Linked DNA regions of Caenorhabditis elegans. The protein of the gene in region 1 interacts with the protein of each later gene in a pairwise test. Each region holds a gene or a part of one and is shown on either strand. Other genes may lie near its edges.

Region 1 (10,003 bases):
CAGAGAAAATACATTTTTGACAAGCAAAACAAAAACAAAAAACTTCTGCGAACATTCTTGGTAATGAGAGTCCTAACGAGATATTACCAGAGCAACAAAAACAGAGGACCACGATAATAAATTGTATGTTTTTGTATTTCAAAAGAGCTCAACAGTTTCTAATATTTTGACTGATTTTGACTTTGTCGTTCAAATTGTGAAAATCCTGTATTTTTCTTATAGCGTTGCTCCATCACTTACGATTTTTCTTTTAAAGTTTCACACAAAATTCCATCAAAACATATACATAAAATTTTAGTTTCCACAAAAAATATTCAAAACAATATTATCGAAAAGAAATAGGGATTGCTCCTGAAATAAACAATTTAACAATAACATTTCATTGAATACTATTAAAAGATTACGAAATCTGCAGGATGGGTTGTTTTTGAACTTTTGAAATGATTTTTCGTATATTTTAAACTTGAAGAAATTTCATGAGAACTGAGCATGTTGTAGTTTTTATACGATATTTATCAGTTTACTTACAGTATTTCCTCTACTAGGTGCGTACTCTATGAAATGATTGCGCCCCTATTAGTCTTGCACCCCCAATAAGCTCATCAAAAATTTCTTTTGCAGGCCCTAATAGTCCTGCATTTATTTTTTACCAACCAGTGGAACTTTAGGTAAAATTCAGCAATTGTTTTAGAATTGGGGTAAAACAAACTTTGAAATGTTCAAACGACTGAAAAAATAATGGAAAAGTACGTTTTTTATGGGTTTAGTATTGCACCCCAACAAGATAATCAAAAATTTCTTTTGCAGACCCTAATAGTCCTGCATTCATATTTTACCAACTAGTCGTACTTTGTGGGAAAACTCAGTAAATTTGTCAGCATTGGGGTAAAATAAACTTGGAATAATTGAACGATTGGAAAAAAAATGATGAAAAATTACGTTTTTTCATGGCTCCAACGCCGTAAAATCACGTTTTCTTGATTTTGCATCATTACGGGCAGATCGGAAAATAGTCTTCCTACAAGACTAATCAAGGGAATACGGTATAGGATTTCAAAATTAAAAACCAATCAATTTCTGTGTTTCACTGCTCTATTTTTGAAACTGTCCCGAAATAACTTGTATTGCTAAAATCAAATAACCAGATAATGCTATAACATATGTTGCTGCACAATTTTCTTAAACCTACACAAAAAAACAATTATTGTAAGCATCTACAAATTCAAGCTTTTGATCCCTTCCACTGTTCCAACATTAACCTAACTTTATTGTATGATTTTCTCATGCAATACCAGAACCATCGTAATCGATTTGCCGAATTTCATGACATCTTCCTTTCCTCCTTCATCTAACTGCTTCTCTCGATTTTTTATGCGTGTAGTGTGTCTTCATCTCCTTCTTTCAGAATGATGTCTGCGCAAGTTGAAAAACTGCAGAATCGTCGGTGCGTGTGAGGGTGGGGGTACCTCTCATTTTCTTTCTTTGATCGACCAAAAAAAAATGGAAAAGACGAAGAAGACATATAAAACCAGTTCGGTTAAATCGTTGGGCCTCTCCGTGGGTGGTGGAAGAAAAAAGCGTAGGGAGACAAGGGGCTTTGATTTTTTTCTCTTCTTTTTACCTATAGGTGGAATATTTATTGTCATTTTTTAAGGTTCAATAGTTACAAAGAAGACGCAGAATCGAAAAGTAACCATTCACTTTTTTTCGTTCTGAAAGTAATACTCCTATATGGCAACTGACACAAAATATAGGAAAAACGCCCTTTGTAGACAAGGCGAGGAAAATAAAGGGCAAAAATAGACAGATAAGTGGGAAAAGTACTTTCACATCCAGAGTGAACTGTACTCACTCTACAAAGTATTTAAGTTTAAAAGATTGGTCTTAAAAATTTTAAACTAAAGTCTAGTTTTCTGAAAGTTTTCAGAACCAAATAAAAACCAAGTCTTATTTTTTTAAATCCACAAAAACCTGAAAGTTCATCCTACAATCGCAATACTTCATTTTAATATTTTTTGTAAAAGTATTTCAAATAATTTAAAATTTCAATTTTTATATACGATCTGCACATACAAAACAAGTGAGGTGTGTTGATTGATCAAAATCAAAGAAAAAAAGAATAATAAAACAACCAAACATAAAAATCCATAAAGAAATAAAATGGGGGCGAATTCAGACAAAATACAAATATATTAATTGCATGTAAAACAATTATCCGTTTTGCAGAAGAGAACAGTCTTAAAGTTTTGGGAAGATGAGAAGAGTTCGGCAGAGAACGTTTTTTCGGAATTTTCAGATTTTTGTTGGGAGAAACAATAATAATAATAAAGTGCCAATTTTGATTGGCTCGTGACCTAGGAAAATGGGTTTTGAGAGGAAAGATTTTTGAATGAAAAAAAAATAGAGCAAAATACATTTAAAAGCTGTGAGGGTTTGGGCACTAGGATACACAGATATTGAGACAAAATGAGAATTGAAAAAATGCAAATGATTTAAATAAAGTACAACCGACTAAAAGCTGACACAGCACGAAAAATGCAAGATATTCAATAGATCTTGAAGAAAATGAATTGAAATGCATGGATGGAGGTTTTTGAGGTATAAAATGATATTGATATTATAAAGTTGAATAAGTGAAATAAGGGAATTATGCAGAAAATACTGGCTGTCTGTAATTGACAACAGAAAAAACCGGTCCCGTAAAAATGGAAGAGTTGAGCGAGATCGCTAAACAAAGGGAGTTGCTGACTGACTCCATTGGAAGTTTTCAGCTCCTATGACAGAGACATTATGATGCCATGTACGGCACAGCAGTGTATGTGGCTTGTGGGGTTGGCAGTTGGATTGCTGGGACCTGAGTGATTGCGGTGACGCTACTGCTAGCCGATCGGTTGACAGTAGTGCGAATCATTTCAAGAACCAAGGAGGCTTCCGGAAAGAATTGCTCCCAGTTCGTGGGGCAGTTTGAATGAAGGTTCCATAAGTACCGTAGTGAGTCGTAAGCGAGTCGTCTGAAATTAGAAAGAATAGATTGTAAGAAGTAATTAATCGACTTATTCATATTTCCCAATGCATATTCATAAGTCAAGTTGTTTTCTGTCTATTCATATGTATTTAGTAAAGATTCTCTCCCCGTTCTTAGTGCCACCTGCTGCGCAACAATACCGTATACATATTGTGCCCCGTTTTCTAATCTGTTTCCTTCTCCTCGCGCACCTATCCAACCAGAATAAATGAGCCTTCCTATTATAAGTTTTTTTCTCCACTCTTCCGATGCTTCTCTTCTCTCCCCAATTCTTTGTCTCCTGTATACAACAAGTTTTTGGAGGGAGAGATGAGCACTAATTATACGGCAACGTTGCTAATTTGTGTGGAGGCGAGGGGAAAGATTGATTTGTGATGGGTTTTTACGAAGGCCAAAGGTTTACCTGATTTGTTCGAAAATTTCCAGAAAGGCGGTAGTACATCTCACTTCACGCCAAGATTGGAGTACTCGAGATCGAGCAGTAGAGACTGCTGGGAAAGAGTCCATTGATTGGTCAAAAAGGGCTAAGAATCGGAAAGCACAATAATCGAAATTCGTGAATCCCATATTTCGAAGCCGAATAACAACATCATTCCATGATGATACGAATGTTTGATTGCCAAGAAGAGCTACAAGACCGACGGGAACTCTGCAAAAAGAATACGATTTTATAGTGGTTTATTGGGCCTTAAAAGGTCTTGAACTTTTGAAAGACCACCGGCTCGTTTTCACAACAATTACGTAACTAAAATGGTAGCCTAATCCTTATTAGAGCCTATGCCGGTAGTGGGAAAATGCGCAATACTTTATACGATGAGCTCGCGGGACGAAGATCTTATCTGGTGCCGAGAATCAAGACTTGCGTCATGTCGGCACCCAATGTTGCGAGAGGCAAAAAAGGTGGGTAATCGAGATAGATGAGTCAAGATTTATCGCCAAATCTTTATAGCCTAATCTTATAGACGCCGCTGTCAGATCGGTTTGTTTATAGTAGTTGTGTTGCGTTGGAAGTTGATTGACTCATTAAATAGCCAGAATCAAACGTTCCACAAAAATTGTTTCCGAGCCTTAGGAAGAATGGAACTCAAAGAAATTTTAACAACTTACTCATCACCATTTGACATTTTATACTGCGAAAGAAGATTTCCGTGGACCATTGCATTAGTGATATCAACGATATGAACGGTTGTCCACGATGTTTGCAACAGAATCATTTGGTCATCCAACTGGAATAAATGCACTTTAGTAAATCTTCAACCAATTACTTATCACACTCAGGATATAAAAAGGTTGCGGTGCAATTACTCCTAGTACATAATGGGTGTCCGTAATGAAAACAATAGAGGTGTGTTTGTATGGGGATGTACCTTTTGAGAAGGAGCGCCTCTTTTTATAGCGGCGATTGTTTCTTTTGATCACCGGAAGCGAGCAATTTATCTACATTATTCCCATCTCATCAGGGTGGGAAATAGAGAATAAAAATATTAGAAAAAAACCGCTGGTGGGAAATGAGAGTGCCTAGATTATTATATTGTTGTATGTATTATTTTACCGATAATTTGCTGAATAGTTGATCATTTTTTGCCCAAATCACGATATCTTTCAAATTTTCCTCTGCGACTTGAATGGAAAATGCGTGCTTTTCAGGTTTGCTAGTTCCTTTTACGCTTGTGAAAATTCGAGCAATTTGAGCATCATCGGGTAATGTTTTGCACATTTCGGCGATCGAGCTGTTGTAAAAGTGGTCCACCGTTTTTTCAGTTGGTGCTGGGCAAAGTGGGAGAATTGGTGATGTGCTGCTAGCTTCTGTCATTCGGCCAGTTGTTGCTGAAATTAAGTAATGTTAACATTTCAAAAATTAAAAAAAAACTTAATCAAAAATTTGAAATGTTGAAACTATAAACTGAAGACAAGAAAAAGCGATAAAAAAACTAAAACTTACTAGAAGAAGTCGAAGTGACCAAGGATTGTGTGCTGGAAACAGTTGTCATTGGCATCATTGTAGCATAATTGGTAGTGTTGCTGGTATAAGTTGGATAGTCGTGCAATGAGTGATGAATGAACTGCTCCGAATAGTCAAATGGCTCCTGTTTGACTTCATTCAACTGATAAGCTGCTGGGAAGGTATGCCTGAGAAGTGGGTCGTCAATTGTGCTCCCAAGAAGTACTGCCAAGCTGTCTTGTGGGTCAACTAAGTATCCAGGTCTCATGATAAAATCGGAAACAGAAACTGAAATTTATAATTTGATGCTATTAACAACTCCAGAAAATATTCTTACGCTGCTGATTAGTGCTACTGGACAATGTTGGACTCTGGAGATGTGCATCATACTCAGTTTTGATATATTCAGTTTTGATTTTAGTTTGGTCAAAATAGTTGATTTGGTTGTTCTGGTCAGTTGTGCTGAAATATGAGATTGATAAGTTGAAAGAAATATAAGAAATAAAGCTCACCTGCTTGAAACCTGGTGCTCTGGAGGTTGATAGAATGTTTGTGCTTGTGATTGTGCTCCAAGGACGGCTGGAACTTGCACTGTGCTCACTCTCATTGCGTTTCTCTGCATACGATGAGCCCGATCCTTCTTATAAAACGATCCGAACTTGTTTCGTCCACCTCTCATCCTATCGGCACGCACCGCTACAAAACATAGTCATTATCCAAGTGCACACACTCATTTCGATGTTCCCCCTTCAATTTACAGTTCCCCGTTTGTACCCGCCAGATGACTGTACACACGGCTCATTTGATCTGGAGTAGAGTGGGCAAGTGCAGTCATTTTTGCCGCAAAACATGCGACACCCTGCAATTGAGATCCTCACGAAAAACGCGCCGCAATGAATGAGTTCGGCACTTCATGTTTTCCCAACAAAGGTACTGTTCAGCACCTATAATTATCGAGCCGGCTACTATTGTTTTGCACTTTTACTACTTCCCCGAATGCCAATAGTTCTTTTATGATGCACCGGATGTCCTAATAAAACTTCACTGAACTTCAGTTGTTTTCCAAGGTGTTGCCTCACTTTTCTCCAACATTTGAAATGGTTGCGCGCCTGCCATAGAGCGTTTGAGATGCGCGCCTCCACCCCCAGGTCTCCAGGTACCGGTTTTTCGGTGACTGTCAGATCTATTCTTCTCTTCCACTCTCACCGTTTCATATCCAATTTTGCATCTCTCTTTTCAATATATCGTTTTTGTTGTCATGCAAAAACGAAACGAAAAGAAAAACGAGAGAGAGAGAAACATGTAACAGAGATGAAAGAAAGGAGAAGTAGAAATCCACAAAAAGTGTAAGCCTTGCGCGATGATTACGTGGAACAAGCTTATGACGCTGCTTAAAGTGCAAATTCAAAATTTTTATAGAGATGGACTTTCGATAACGGTTACATCCCTTATTATCCCATCAATCAAGAAGTCAGCACAGTATGTGCTCTTACAGAAGAGCGGTTGCGCTCTTTTAGATATGATAGATATCTTACCTTCCATTTTCATTCCCATTGTGAGGCACTTCTGGAATCGACAGCTTGGACACCTCTTCCGGCAAGTACGATCCACGTGGCAGTTGGCTTCGGCAGAGCATTGATATTGCTGAAAGAAGGGACAAATTGGAGAAAGTCGAAAACAATACTTAGATAACATCAGCTACAGTGTTATATTTTTATACATATGTATGTACTCACCTTCTTGTTTTGAACAGTGCGTTTGAAGAAGCCCTGTAAAGAGAAAATTATTGATGGAGAGAATGAAACAATAAATGGAAAAAAAAGAATCAAATGAAAAACTAGAGATGACCGCCCGATGAGGGTCATATGGCAACAAGTGAATGATTTTGGCGGTGAGAGTTGTCTGTCCTTGAAGGGCTCGAACGTGTCCCTGAGTCGGGACTCTCACTAACTACAAATGACCTTATCATTTTGCCACACACCCACTTTTTTCCCGCGGAAAAAAAGTGAAGACATCTAAGACTAACCTTGCAACTTTCACACGTCAGAAGGCCGTAGTGATATCCAGAGACTCGATCACCACAAACCGGGCACATCTCGCCTTCATGATTCGGTCGCAGAACCATCCTCTCGACGTCAGTCATTTATTTCTGGAACAGATCTCGGATTACTGTATGTTCGAATGAAATTGAAAACAGAAAAATGAATTTGAGAAAGGGATAGCTGAATGGCACAAGGTATGAAGGACCTGTCCAAGGATGGCACGGTACGGAAGAAAAAGTAGGCGGAGTCGGAAAAGTGAGAGTAAGTGGTTCGCTGCCGTGTGGATCTCTTGGGCCGGTCGATCTCCTCCCACCACACCACTGGCGGCATCAGCGAGCCTATCGTTGGATGTCTTTGGTTGTCTCGCACCCTCCACCATGCTCTACCCGAGGGGACCTACATACCGTAAGACACACCCGCTCGTCTTCTTCGTCCACTAAAATCCGCCAACGGCTACCTATGTATAGAAGAGAGTCGTAGTTGAAGGTCGACGCGGAGGCCTGAAATAGTGAACGTCGATGGGAGAGAAGGGGATGATCGAGAGGGAAAAAATGATGAAAAAAAGGAAGAGAAAAGAAGAGGACGTGGGGGTCTTCTTCTTCTTGACGGGAGGTAAAGAAAAACGATCGACGACGACAACGGAGAAAGCAAACGTGTGAGTATGGCAATTCAGTGGCGTATCGTCAGGGGTCGTGCCAGGCACCGCTACAGTTCGTTTTTTGCCCAGTAACTTCAACTTGAATATCTCTTGTTCTCTCTGCGCAGCGCGCGAAAACCGCAGGGACGGTGGGTCTCGATTTTTTATAGTCTCACTTGCTGCCCCCCGGGTGGGAAAAGGAGATTTGATTTTCTTTGCATTGTTCTTCATTTTTTTTCTTCGTCAATTCACTTATATTACCTACCTAGACTGCTTTGATTCATCGCCTACCCTAAAAGTCGCCTCCACCCCTTTTTCTCGCTATCTACATTTTATTACGCAATCAGCCGGTTAAGAGGAGATATCGAGAGATAACGTAAATAGGACCATATAAGTTAGCCTGGGAAAAAGATTTTTAGAAGCGCCAAATAAAATAAATTTTTAAAACAAAATAAAACAAACTCGACATATGCTTGTATAGAAAAGCACTTCCGGTTAAAAACTATCTGCTTCGATATGATAGAAATTATCCCAACAAGGAAACCGCTTAAAAATGAATAGTACAAATAAGACAAATTATCAAAATCGAAGTCAAATGTTACTAGATGTTACCAGTATAAAAATTTGTCATCCTGTTCTCTACGTCTGAAATTTCGCATCTAAAAACTTCTACTGAATCTTGATGATATCTCACCGTGCAGAATTGGTTTTTGGACATTTTTTTTATTAAAAAAAGGGCGGGGCGCTGGGTGAAACTTTTTTCGCTCAAAAATGACCGAATTAAAAAAAAAAGTTTACAGGTTATTTGAAGCTTAAAAACATTAGGTTCTAAACGTGTGTACTAACAATGAAGCCAAATTGAGATTAATTGAGATAGCTCATCGAAAATATTTCAGAGAGTCAAGACAGGAAATTATTTTCTAAAAAATACTGAACAATAAAAAAGTTATTCTCGAAAAATGCACAAAAAGCAACATGCTCAGCTAAGACTAGAAACGTTATTTAAAAAAAATAGAATATAAAATTTCGTCAAAATATTGATAGTTCTTAGATTAAAAAAGTTATATTCTCATTTTGAGCTGGTATTTCAACAAAGTTTAGATATTTAACAATGTATATTGTAGAAAGCTAATCATTTTTGCATAATTATGATAACGTCATTATCAAAAATTGAATCGTCTGGTTAAATTAAAGGTATGCCTGTTAGGTTTAAATAGTTTTTAATCTAAATTTAAAATAGGTTTTTCTATATTATAAGTTCAAAACACGTATTTTATTGGTTTTCGTATTAAACTTTCCACAAATACTTAGGAAAAAAAGGAAAATAAAATATGGCAATGACTATATCCGGGATTTTGTATATGTATGAAATAGTTAAAGGCGCTATAGACATCATCAGTGAAAATATGATAAGATAAGTGCAAGTCGGGCAAAAAAAAGAAAGGGCTGCGCAACAACCGGAGACAGTGTAATATTGCAGAAAAATTGGAAGTATGTCAAATGACGCCTTTAACAAAATTTTGAATAAGCTATGCATATGTTTCAACTAAGCTCAATCAGATAAGAACAGTATCAAATTTCAGTGTGAGGTGCGCAACAATACTTCCAGATGTAAACATTTGGCGAGATTGATGGAGAAATCAGAGAGATAGAGATAGAAGATGAATGTACAAGGAATTCCTGATCAAAGAAGAAAATTTGCGTTGGCATGGTAGAATGGAGGAGGAAAGAAGGGTGTGAAAAAACAGTAGCAACACGAGGAGAGAGAGAAAGATATGGAGTGAAATAGGTGAAGAGAGGGAGGAAAATAAGAAAAACTTGCGGCGCCGGGGGCCCGCCGATGAAAATGTCCCGCATTTGGAAAATGGCGCGGATAAAAGAGACAATATTGAATTGAGAGACAGACCGTACGGCATCTGCTGGATTTTCTTACAAAAGAGTGTTGCGTTTTCATCAACTTATTTTCGCGCGGCGTGGTGTGGTGTTGCGTGATTTTTATTTGGCGCAAAGCTGCTGACTATTAACTAATCAAATGGCGCTTGGGAACCGAAAAATTGCAAAGACAAGACGAAGAAGAAAGTCAGAAGCCATTTTGCTGTGACAAATAGGCACGTGACACCGCTGCGTCAAACCTATGTGGATTAGACGAAGCACAGTAAAATGTGTTATTGTTGATATAAGTTACAGATCAGTGAAGAGATAAAAAATTTAAAAAAAAAGGGCTTCGCCAGCCAATTTCCGTAACTCCTGGATATGGCTGAAATGTAAATTCTAACGTGCAAATGTCGGAGAGTAAAAATTGAAAATTGACTCTTCTCGGTTTTTTTTCACATTCTGAAGCCACTGTGACAGTCTTA
Region 2 (9,096 bases), on another chromosome or scaffold:
ATCCAACCTTTGCAGCACGTGAGCAACCTCCATCGGCTATTATTTCCTTTAACTGATCCATTCGATGGCTGAACTTTTCTCCCAGCGTCCTGAAATTGAAGAAACTTAAATATGAAATAAATCTAATTTTCTTACATTGGCTCCTCTGGGAAGTTCACACGTCGAGCGGATCCGGGTTGCTGGCTCATAGCCTGAAAATTTTAAATTTGATGAAAAGATGGAAAAAAGGCGTAGAAGAAAAAACAAAACCGCATCGTGAATGAAAGAAATCAAGTTAGGGTTGGGCGAAAATTTATATTTTCCCGCTAAGAATAACGGTGGGTCAAAGTCTAGATCAAAGATGTTTTGTAAAGTCGCTTCAAGACTAACTTCCGAAAATCATAATCGCGCCTTGAAAATTTTCAGTGGGGTACTGTAATCGTTGCGAAACCCGCAAGAAAAGCGCGCGTTATTCAAAAAGTGTTTTAGTTGAAATATTTTTCCGCAAAAAATATTTAAATAATGAAAACACGTGAATCGAAAAATAATACAAATGAAATGTATTTTTAAGTTTTAACTCAAATAAAGTGTCTGAATAATATGCTTGAGAACCAGTGTAATCGCGATATTGAGTGAGTCCATCGACTTCTAGGTTTTCAATCGAATTAACCAAGTTCTGAAATCCCAATAAAATTTCAATATCTAGGACCCAACGCCCAGAGGAACCACGTGGCAGAGCTCAATCGGGATCTGAGCTAGGAGCCACTGCGCAAGATCCATGCTTCTGTATGCCAGTTTATGTGTGGTTCATCATGATGGCACTCATTCATTGTGCCATTCTGACCCTGCACATTTTGCTTGTCAAAAATTCGTAGCCGTGGTGGTATGTCTTTGAAGTGAGACCGCCTGTATGTATGTGACACGTGGCAATTTTTTTTCAATATTTCAGTTTCTTCTTGTCGGCTTATCCCTGTTCATCATTTGTGCCCCGAATACATTTTCCGTCTTTGCCCACTTCCTGCTTCAGATCTTATTTTGGGTATCCAGCGATCCTCTAAAAAAGTAACAAAATTTTACAATTTTTCAGACTGGCGCCATCTTTGCGCACTGCTACACGTTTTCGAATGGTGTGCACACAGTTGAAACTGGTGGTGATCGTGCTTGGCGCATTGCTTCCTTCATCTCATATCTGATCTCTTCTCTGATTTACATCATAATTTTTGTCCGTCTTCTTGTGTCTTCTAGATGAATCTTCTTGTGTCTTCTAGATTAAAGTCTAATAAATAATTCATATACACGATAGACGAAAAAAAAGGGCCCGTTATCAAATTGTCGAAAAGAGTTCGCACTTGTAATAGAACATGAGATAATTGAGAGATGGTTGGAGAAATGAAGTGAGCAACAAATAATACGGATAGATGGGAAAAAACTAATTAGATTGGGGAGTGATATGCTCCAAATACTGATAATGAGAACAACGAAATGAAGTGGGTATTTGATGTGAAACTACATAAGGGAACATGGGGATGGAATGAAGATAAATATATAATAGCACATGAATAAAACTGGAAGATCGATTTGATTGAGATTGTGTGTCTGTGCACCGGGAGTAGGGAATTCTGTACCCGCACAAAGATTCATTCACATTAGTTGTCGATGATGCTGCATTTGATGCTGTTGATGTTGTTGTGAAACTATTCTCTGCTGATGTCTACCAAGATCGATGATCTTTGACAACATAGTTTCTGAAATAGATCGTGAATTGTAAAAGGGAATTATGGGAATAAAAAATTTCATATTTCAGAATTTATAAAATTTCTAAACACGGTTGTAATTTTTTTTATCGCAGTGATAGAAATGAAGAGGCTTTTAATGTTCTGGAAGTAGCTAAATTTTGCGCCAAAAATACAGTACCCGGTCTCGACACGACAAGCTTTTGTTAAATGCAAAATGGTGTGCGCCTTTAAAAGTCCTGCATTATGAAATTTTAGTTTCTGCTGAATTTTCATAGATTGTTCATAGGTTTTCATAAATAATAATTCACAAAACCCCCAAATATTTCAATTGAAACGTATATTTTTTACAAAAAAAACTATTTATGAAAGCACATATTTGCATTCAACAAAAAGTTACCGTAATTCTTGGCGCAAAATTGAAAAATTTCGCGTTTGTGTATTTTAAAAATTCGTATTTTTTGTTAGTTTCTTCAGAAGTTAAAAACTCACGAATATTCGAATTCTGCCGACGAGCCTTGAGTTCCGCAAAGAATGCTTCAGTCATTTTTGCCTGTTCCAGGAATCTGTACATCATAAAAGTTTGCAGTGACTCGTCACGACTACAAATTGACAAAATGAATGCTAGCCACTCTTGCAGAATACCGTCACTCATCTCATGTGTCAGCCATTGGAAGGGGTTTAGCGTGCCATTTCTGGAATAAAATGAAATTAATTATTTCAATTGTGATTTTCAGTGTAAAAAACTTACGTCAATACTAGCTTCAAACTGTGGAAAAATCTTGGATTTGCCTGACTACAAAGATTCGTTAAAAGTCCCACAGATCGTTTTACAATATCTTCGTGATCTTTTCGTCTGTCATCTAATTCTCTTCTCTGCTCAGCACTTCTACCGTCACAATTCATCATTTCAACGCTCTGAAAATCAATTATAATTTATTTGTTTCTACGAATTTAATTTATAGCTTACAGTTTTCCGCCATTCGTCCAAACTCTGGAATGCTCTTTGAAGCAATAAAATTGGTAGTGGCTCATTTGTTGTTCCAAGTAGATCAACAAACGGATCAGCAAAAGCAGGAACCGTCTCAATGACACGTTTCATTACTGTCACCGCAAGTTTCCTGCACTTCCGATTTCCAACGTTAAAGTAATGAAGGAGCACATATGCGGAGTCGGCATTCTCACTGATCATTCTACACGCTGATACTGCAGATTCTTTGATATCTTGAGGTGCCATAGAAGTCACATTGTTCAATACGGATAGACAATTTTCATAAATCGACAGAATCTGCTTTCTATATAAATCTATATTGGCATCTGAAAAATAAGTAAATTAGAATTTCAGATTGAATATTTCAAAACTAACGTGGCTGATATGTAAACTGTTCAGATGTCCGAAGAACTGCGATCGCATGACTTGTAACTCCATCCTGCACCATAAATGCCTTGTTCATCTTGTTATGAAGTCCAATATTTCGTAGAGTTCCAGTCGCTAGCTCAACAATCGTTACATCCGAACATCCAATAAGTTGAACTATACAATGAATCGATTCTTTCATATCCTGCTCCTGGATCGCTGGCAAATCTGATACTCGTCTCAAACACTTCAGAAGTTCGTGAAGAAGTCGTGTTGATCCATGCGAAAGAAGACCGCACAAAACTTGTGCTCCACCCATTTGCACAAAATGTGTTCCATTCTTAACATCTCCACAGAATACGGTAAGAGCCTGCATCGTTGACCACAACAAATCCTCGTGGATCACTTCGTTCTGCATAATTTGATGAAAGAGGCTCACAACACCAAGACGTTCTGACATATCTTTGATAGTTGCATTTTTATTCGACAAATTCTTAATAATCGATACACAAAGTCCCTTATTCTTTGACTTCGTTTCCGGTCTTCTCAGGTTTCCAATTGCAAATTCAATTACTATTTTGTGAAGACGTCGATGTGCTGGTGACTGTTGAGTCTCATCTTCTCCAAAGAAAATCTTCATGAAATGAGGTTTACAACAAAGATGTACGAGCAGAACCATAGCACTGGACTCGAATTTCGTGTCAAGTTGAATGGCACGTGTCATCACGATCTCATAGATACTGTATGGCTTTGGTACATTGAACACAGGCGGCCCATTGGGATCCATTAATGCCGCATTCAGTCGGAAGAACATCCTGTCGATACGTCGGATTTCCTTGTTGGAGAGAAGAATTGAGTGGTGGAGAATTTCAAACGCTTTCCGGATTACCTACAAAAAATATGGAGTTGTCAAACGATATTTTAATACATCTATATATATTTTTTTTTTTTTTTGAAAGATTTTTTTAGATTTAGATTTTAGATTTTTAAACAATATTAGGCTGTAGGCATCCACTTAGGGATGACGATGTTCCTACCTACCATGAAAACCTTCAACGAACATTTATGCAAAACTTACATTCTCATTCTCAACTGGCCGAGGAATAAGAACTTGAAACAGAGCTCGAATAATCGGTTCGGCTCCTTTAGGTCCCCAGGTTTGCAACATTCCACCAGCTTTCACAATTGGCTCCAAAGCTCGAATCGCTGCTGCTTGATTGATTAGTTCCGTTGATTCCAGATTCTCAATAATCTCGGGAGCTGTCATCGGATACTGTCGATTCGTCGGATCCTGATTCTCGGAAACCTGCGATACACGTGTCAGTGCTCGCTGATATGGTGCCTGATTGACAAAATTGTTGAATTCACCCATTTCAGTGTTGACTGAGAGCATTGACAATCCACCGTACGAGTAGGCGGTCATTTCTGACATATTCGTCATGTGAGACATTGTGGAGCCGATCTGAAATTTGATTTTATTATCTGTTCAAGCCGCGGAATTCTTATAAAAATCTCTTACCACACTCGGAGGCCTCGAAAACCTTTGTTGTTGTCCTGCCATCTGCGGCGGTGCATAGGTACCCTGCATCCAAGCATTTGTGTATGATCGCTTTCCCACAGCAGCTTCCCGGAGTTCTTGCACCCGAGAATTGGACGGTTCCATGTTCTGAGGTTGAGCCTTGAACGGCGAACCTGAAAAATGAAATATGAATATGTGAAAAGAGGTATGTAATTTGAGGGAAGTTTCCAATGGGGAACACATAGACACACGAGACATACGAAAATGGAATGGGGGAAGTGATAAGGTGATGTGATTGGAGAGGGTCGAGAGAGAAAAGGGCGCGAAATGGCCTTTTGGAATATGTTATCGACCAGGAAATTCTTGGATTAATTGTTATGCAAACGAGTTTTTATTCAATCATTCTAGATCAGGGGTACGCGGTAATTGAGCCAGTGTGGCATGTTTTCAGTAGAAAATAATATTTGCTTTATCTGAAGATAACTTTTGTTTCAGTTTGAGAAATTGAAAAAAATTTTCGATGATTTGTCGAAAATTTTGTCGGGCAATTCTCAACTTTCAGACAATTTTCGGAGCACTTTTCAATTATTCCAGCTTAAATGAAAGTAATTCTCAGATTACAATAATTCTTTTCCGAATATTAAAAATCTTAAGCATAAATTGGCCGCTTTTAATCTTTTTTTCGAAGTAAAGCCAAAATTTCATATCTTTCTCACCTGAATATTGTCTGGCAGACATTGTAGAAGACGGCCGAACTGGTGTTGAAACTCTCGATGTTGACGGAGTCATCGGATTGAAATTCAGCGGAGTGCATGGTTGCGAGACTGAAATTTTATTGATTTTTTTAATAATTATTATTTCAAGGGGGAACCTACATGTTTCTGCGCAATCCACATCCATTTCAGATGGGTGGTTGCAGGTCCGTTGAGGAACCTGAAACTAAGCTAAAATGAGAAATTTCGATGTGAGAACCTGAGAAAACGCCATTGATGAGGGGAATAAAGGAAAGTAATCGGATGTGTGTGGAGATTTCACAAAAAAATGAAGAAGTTTCAAGAGAAGTTAAAAGAATTACGAACTTTTGGATTTGTGAGAATTGTATCTAATTCTTGCAGCAACTAGAAAATATTTTAAAAATTGTTTAATTTATGAGTTTTTTGAATCAAAGCAATAGTTTTTTTCTCAATTTTAATATAATTTACAGAAAAGTTTAAAAAATAATTTTTTTCATTTTAGAAAATAACTCAGAATGCTGTGCAAAAGTACAAAACCCCTTTCCTATTGTCTTTCGAGCAACTGCTATTCACACCTTCCAAGTCAAACATACTCAAGTGGACACTGAGCTTTTTTCAATATTGACAGACTTTTTGACACCTTATTCTATTTTTTTTTTTCGAATAGTCAGCCACTTGTAGAAAATTTTGAATTTCTGAAACATTGGTGAATGGATAATAAATGCAAAACGATCGGGGGTAACCAATAAATCAGTTCATATGGGTATATACTCTGTGGGGGGTCAACACTTGAATGCTGTTCAAACAGCAGGACGAACGGCCAGTTGCAAAATGTTTCGGGGAAATTTAATCCGAAAATAGCGGAGAGAAAATTATTCCTATTAAATACGTAACTCACAAAGTTTATCAGTAAGTTTTGCGATGAAAAAAAGATTTAAACTGATAAGAAGAATGGCATCGCCCGTCCGAGAGGAGTACACAGCCGGTGGCCTAGAAACCTCCGCGCCGCGAATCAATACATTTTGAATTCGATTGAAGCTTTCAATACTGAAAGTTAATCTAGTGAATAAATCAAAGAAAATGTGATGCCGTTGAGCAGGAAGTTTACTTCGAAAGGCCACACAAATGTTTTATGTGAAAATTTCTGGATTTGGGATTAAAGTTTTTTATTTAAATTTTAATCAAAACCTTGCGAGTTAGCTCGAAAAAAAGGAGAAGCATTGGCGAATGGATAATATGCACCTGCTCAGGCTGAAGGGAATCAGTGTGTACACGACTCGTAGAGAAAGAGACAACAACCAACTAGTAATCAATCAATTTGACCACATTATTAAATCATCAGGCGTGTCATCGGAGACAAAAATGTGACGAAGAAACATTTGAATCTATGACTTTGAGGATATCAAGTGAGGCGTGAGGATGAGAAGAAGGAAAAGAAAAAATGAAAGCCGGATTTAGGGGAATTGAAAATGAACCGGAAATTGGAAGAATCAAGAGCAGCGGCGAGGAAAAATCAATTTTAGAGAATTTAACATTTTTTTGTGAAATGCAAAACCTGTTTTTTTTTTCTTTTTGAAATTCTGCTAAATTTCAGTTTTAACAAAAAAAACTGATATTTCACTATTTCTGGCCGAAAATCTGCAAAATTCCTCAATTTTCACCTCTAAAAGTAGGGTTCAAGTCAAAAATTGCATTTTTCACATGATTTATGTTGATAAATCGGAAATTTTCAGCTTATTCGTGTTGTTGAAAATCAACTAACTTTGAGTTTTTTGTTTCAATATCGACAAATCGTGTTCTAAATGATTCCTGTGAATTCGGGTACAAATTTGAGAAATTTAAAACATAATTTGGCAAAAAATTTACGAAAAATACAGGAATTTTCAATGGAAATTAAAGGCAGAGAAATAGTCGAAAATTTTGCAGAAAAACCAAAAAAAAATTGGCAAATAAAAGCAACTGTTGCACCTGTTTCCCACGTTTTTCTCCCTATCGCTTCAGAAAACATCTGTCTCCATATGTTTGCATAAGCGTGAAGATTTCGAACGGAAGAACGTCGATTCAAGGACACTTTCTCAGTAAAACGGATTTGAAAGTGATGCCTTGATGACACAGTTTTTAAAATCCACACACCTACGGCTAATTGGGCAAAGTCGATAATTGGAGCAGCAGAGTAAAATCTATAGAAAAATAGAGTGGTGGGAAAGATGGTGTGGGTGAATGGTGGACAAGAAAGTGTACGAATGTGCCTGATGACAAACAGACCCAAGCAGAGGGTGAATGAATGACCAGGGGAAAGGTGCCCCGTGTGAGAAACGGTCCGATGAGATAGTATGCTGAACGAGAGATACACAGACAGTGTGACGCAATGTATGGACTCCTTTTGCACCATTCGTTCGCCACAGTGACCAGAGAAACCCAGTGGAGGAATGAATGAGGGGTGGTAAATTCGAAAATGAATTGAATTCAACTGGAGGGACGGGACACACGATTTGAATTGTATCGAATTAACCCAGAGAAAGACTCTGTGCATAATGAGAAGAGAGGAAGAAGATGGAAAATAGAATCAGTAATTGGAATGCAAGTGAGTGAATGAAAGAGGATTGTAAAAATGAGACTAATTAAATAGGTGGCGGAAATGTCATCTTCTCAGTAATAGTAATAGTTGTAAACTTTGGTGTTTAGGGTTATGCTAATAAAATTCTGATTTACGAAGCTATTTATTATGGGTGTATTTGAATTATTTTCTACTACGAAAAAAACTGCAAAATAATTACTAGTGAATTTCTGATCTTTTTGCTCGTGAAAAACTTTAAAACTGTTCTTTAACAAATAAATTATGATTTTTATCTTTTTTAAAGCAAAAAACTGGTATTTTTGCATAACAGAGCATCGATTTTAACACTCTCATTGATAATTTAAATAAATAGTGAGTGATTTTTTGAAAAACAAGCGATATTTTCGGAATTTAACTGAAATTTCATGAAAATCAAAAAAATGAAAAGTGTTGGCGCATGTTGGGTTATCGAGAAATGCGCTAGATATCGAAAAGTGCGTCAGTGAAGCAATTTGGAGGCAATTCAAAATTCTTTAGTTGCTTTCTTTGGAAATCATTTTTAATGCTCAAAGCATGAATGTATACTTCATTTAAAACTATATTCAAATTTAAAATAAGTAGACGACCTCTTGACCAACTGTACATGTCATTTGTTCAAGTACCACTTCACTTGAATGTCACGCTAAACTGTTCAGACCACGTCACAAGTAAAAATAGTTTCACAAAAGACTTCTCAACTTGTTTGTGCTAGAAACAAGTCGAAGAATGGATAATAAAAGTCGAAGATATCGGATTGCAGTGCGAATTGCGCAATAATCCTCTCGGATATCCCATCTCAAATATTGTCATCACCAGAAATGACCAAAAAGTATGGACGCATGTGTGTTTATGTACATAATTAAATATATACTTTTGTTGAAGCATTAGAGCGTGTTTAGCTTTCCAAAAATAAAGTCAAAAACTGAGAAGCTTATTATTAATGTGTGGTACAACCTATCGGGCAGATGGTTGCGAATAGTAATAGCAGCTCCTCAAGAAGGGCAGATGGACAGGAAATTAGGTGCGCGTTCTTCGTTTTTCAAATTTTTCGAACGAGTGAATAAGAAACCTTGACGTTTACTCGATCAGACACAACAATATGACAGAAAAAAGTTTTTTGGTGGTGTTTCGAATCTAGAAAAACCTGTTGATTGAGGGATAGGGGTGCCCCATCGAGG

What was found.
Region 2: the proteins of nhr-25 (region 1) and wrm-1 interact in binary tests that used the Caenorhabditis elegans proteins (3 or more experiments, as listed by UniProt).

The regions. Positions count from the first base shown.
Region 1 is NC_003284.9:13,005,999-13,016,001, reverse strand, and holds nhr-25 (Nuclear hormone receptor family member nhr-25), read right to left. Parts: upstream 7,510-10,003; 5' UTR 7,414-7,509; intron 7,117-7,413; 5' UTR 7,111-7,116; coding exon 6,994-7,110; intron 6,985-6,993; exon of another isoform or gene 6,782-6,984; intron 6,737-6,781; coding exon 6,704-6,736; intron 6,612-6,703; coding exon 6,503-6,611; intron 6,231-6,502; exon of another isoform or gene 6,089-6,230; intron 5,896-6,088; exon of another isoform or gene 5,713-5,895; intron 5,664-5,712; coding exon 5,480-5,663; intron 5,430-5,479; coding exon 5,305-5,429; intron 5,256-5,304; coding exon 4,968-5,255; intron 4,853-4,967; coding exon 4,578-4,852; intron 4,252-4,577; coding exon 4,133-4,251; intron 3,675-4,132; coding exon 3,429-3,674; intron 3,012-3,428; coding exon 2,789-3,011; 3' UTR 2,040-2,788; downstream 1-2,039. UniProt on the Caenorhabditis elegans protein: Orphan nuclear receptor and probable transcription activator, required during development. Plays a role in male tail tip morphogenesis regulating the expression of the transcription factor dmd-3 in a negative feedback loop.
Region 2 is NC_003281.10:5,719,275-5,728,370, reverse strand, and holds wrm-1 (Armadillo repeat-containing protein wrm-1), read right to left. Parts: upstream 5,522-9,096; 5' UTR 5,489-5,521; coding exon 5,464-5,488; intron 5,413-5,463; coding exon 5,305-5,412; intron 4,762-5,304; coding exon 4,589-4,761; intron 4,532-4,588; coding exon 4,148-4,531; intron 3,959-4,147; coding exon 3,079-3,958; intron 3,030-3,078; coding exon 2,683-3,029; intron 2,631-2,682; coding exon 2,464-2,630; intron 2,408-2,463; coding exon 2,205-2,407; intron 1,725-2,204; coding exon 1,621-1,724; 3' UTR 1,256-1,620; downstream 1-1,255. Other genes in the region: LDL receptor repeat-containing protein egg-1, read right to left, coding at 8-89, 136-188. UniProt on the Caenorhabditis elegans protein: Antagonistic role in the Wnt signaling pathway that operates in embryogenesis. When located at the cortex it has been shown to inhibit Wnt signaling during asymmetric cell division but when relocated to the nucleus it shows positive regulation.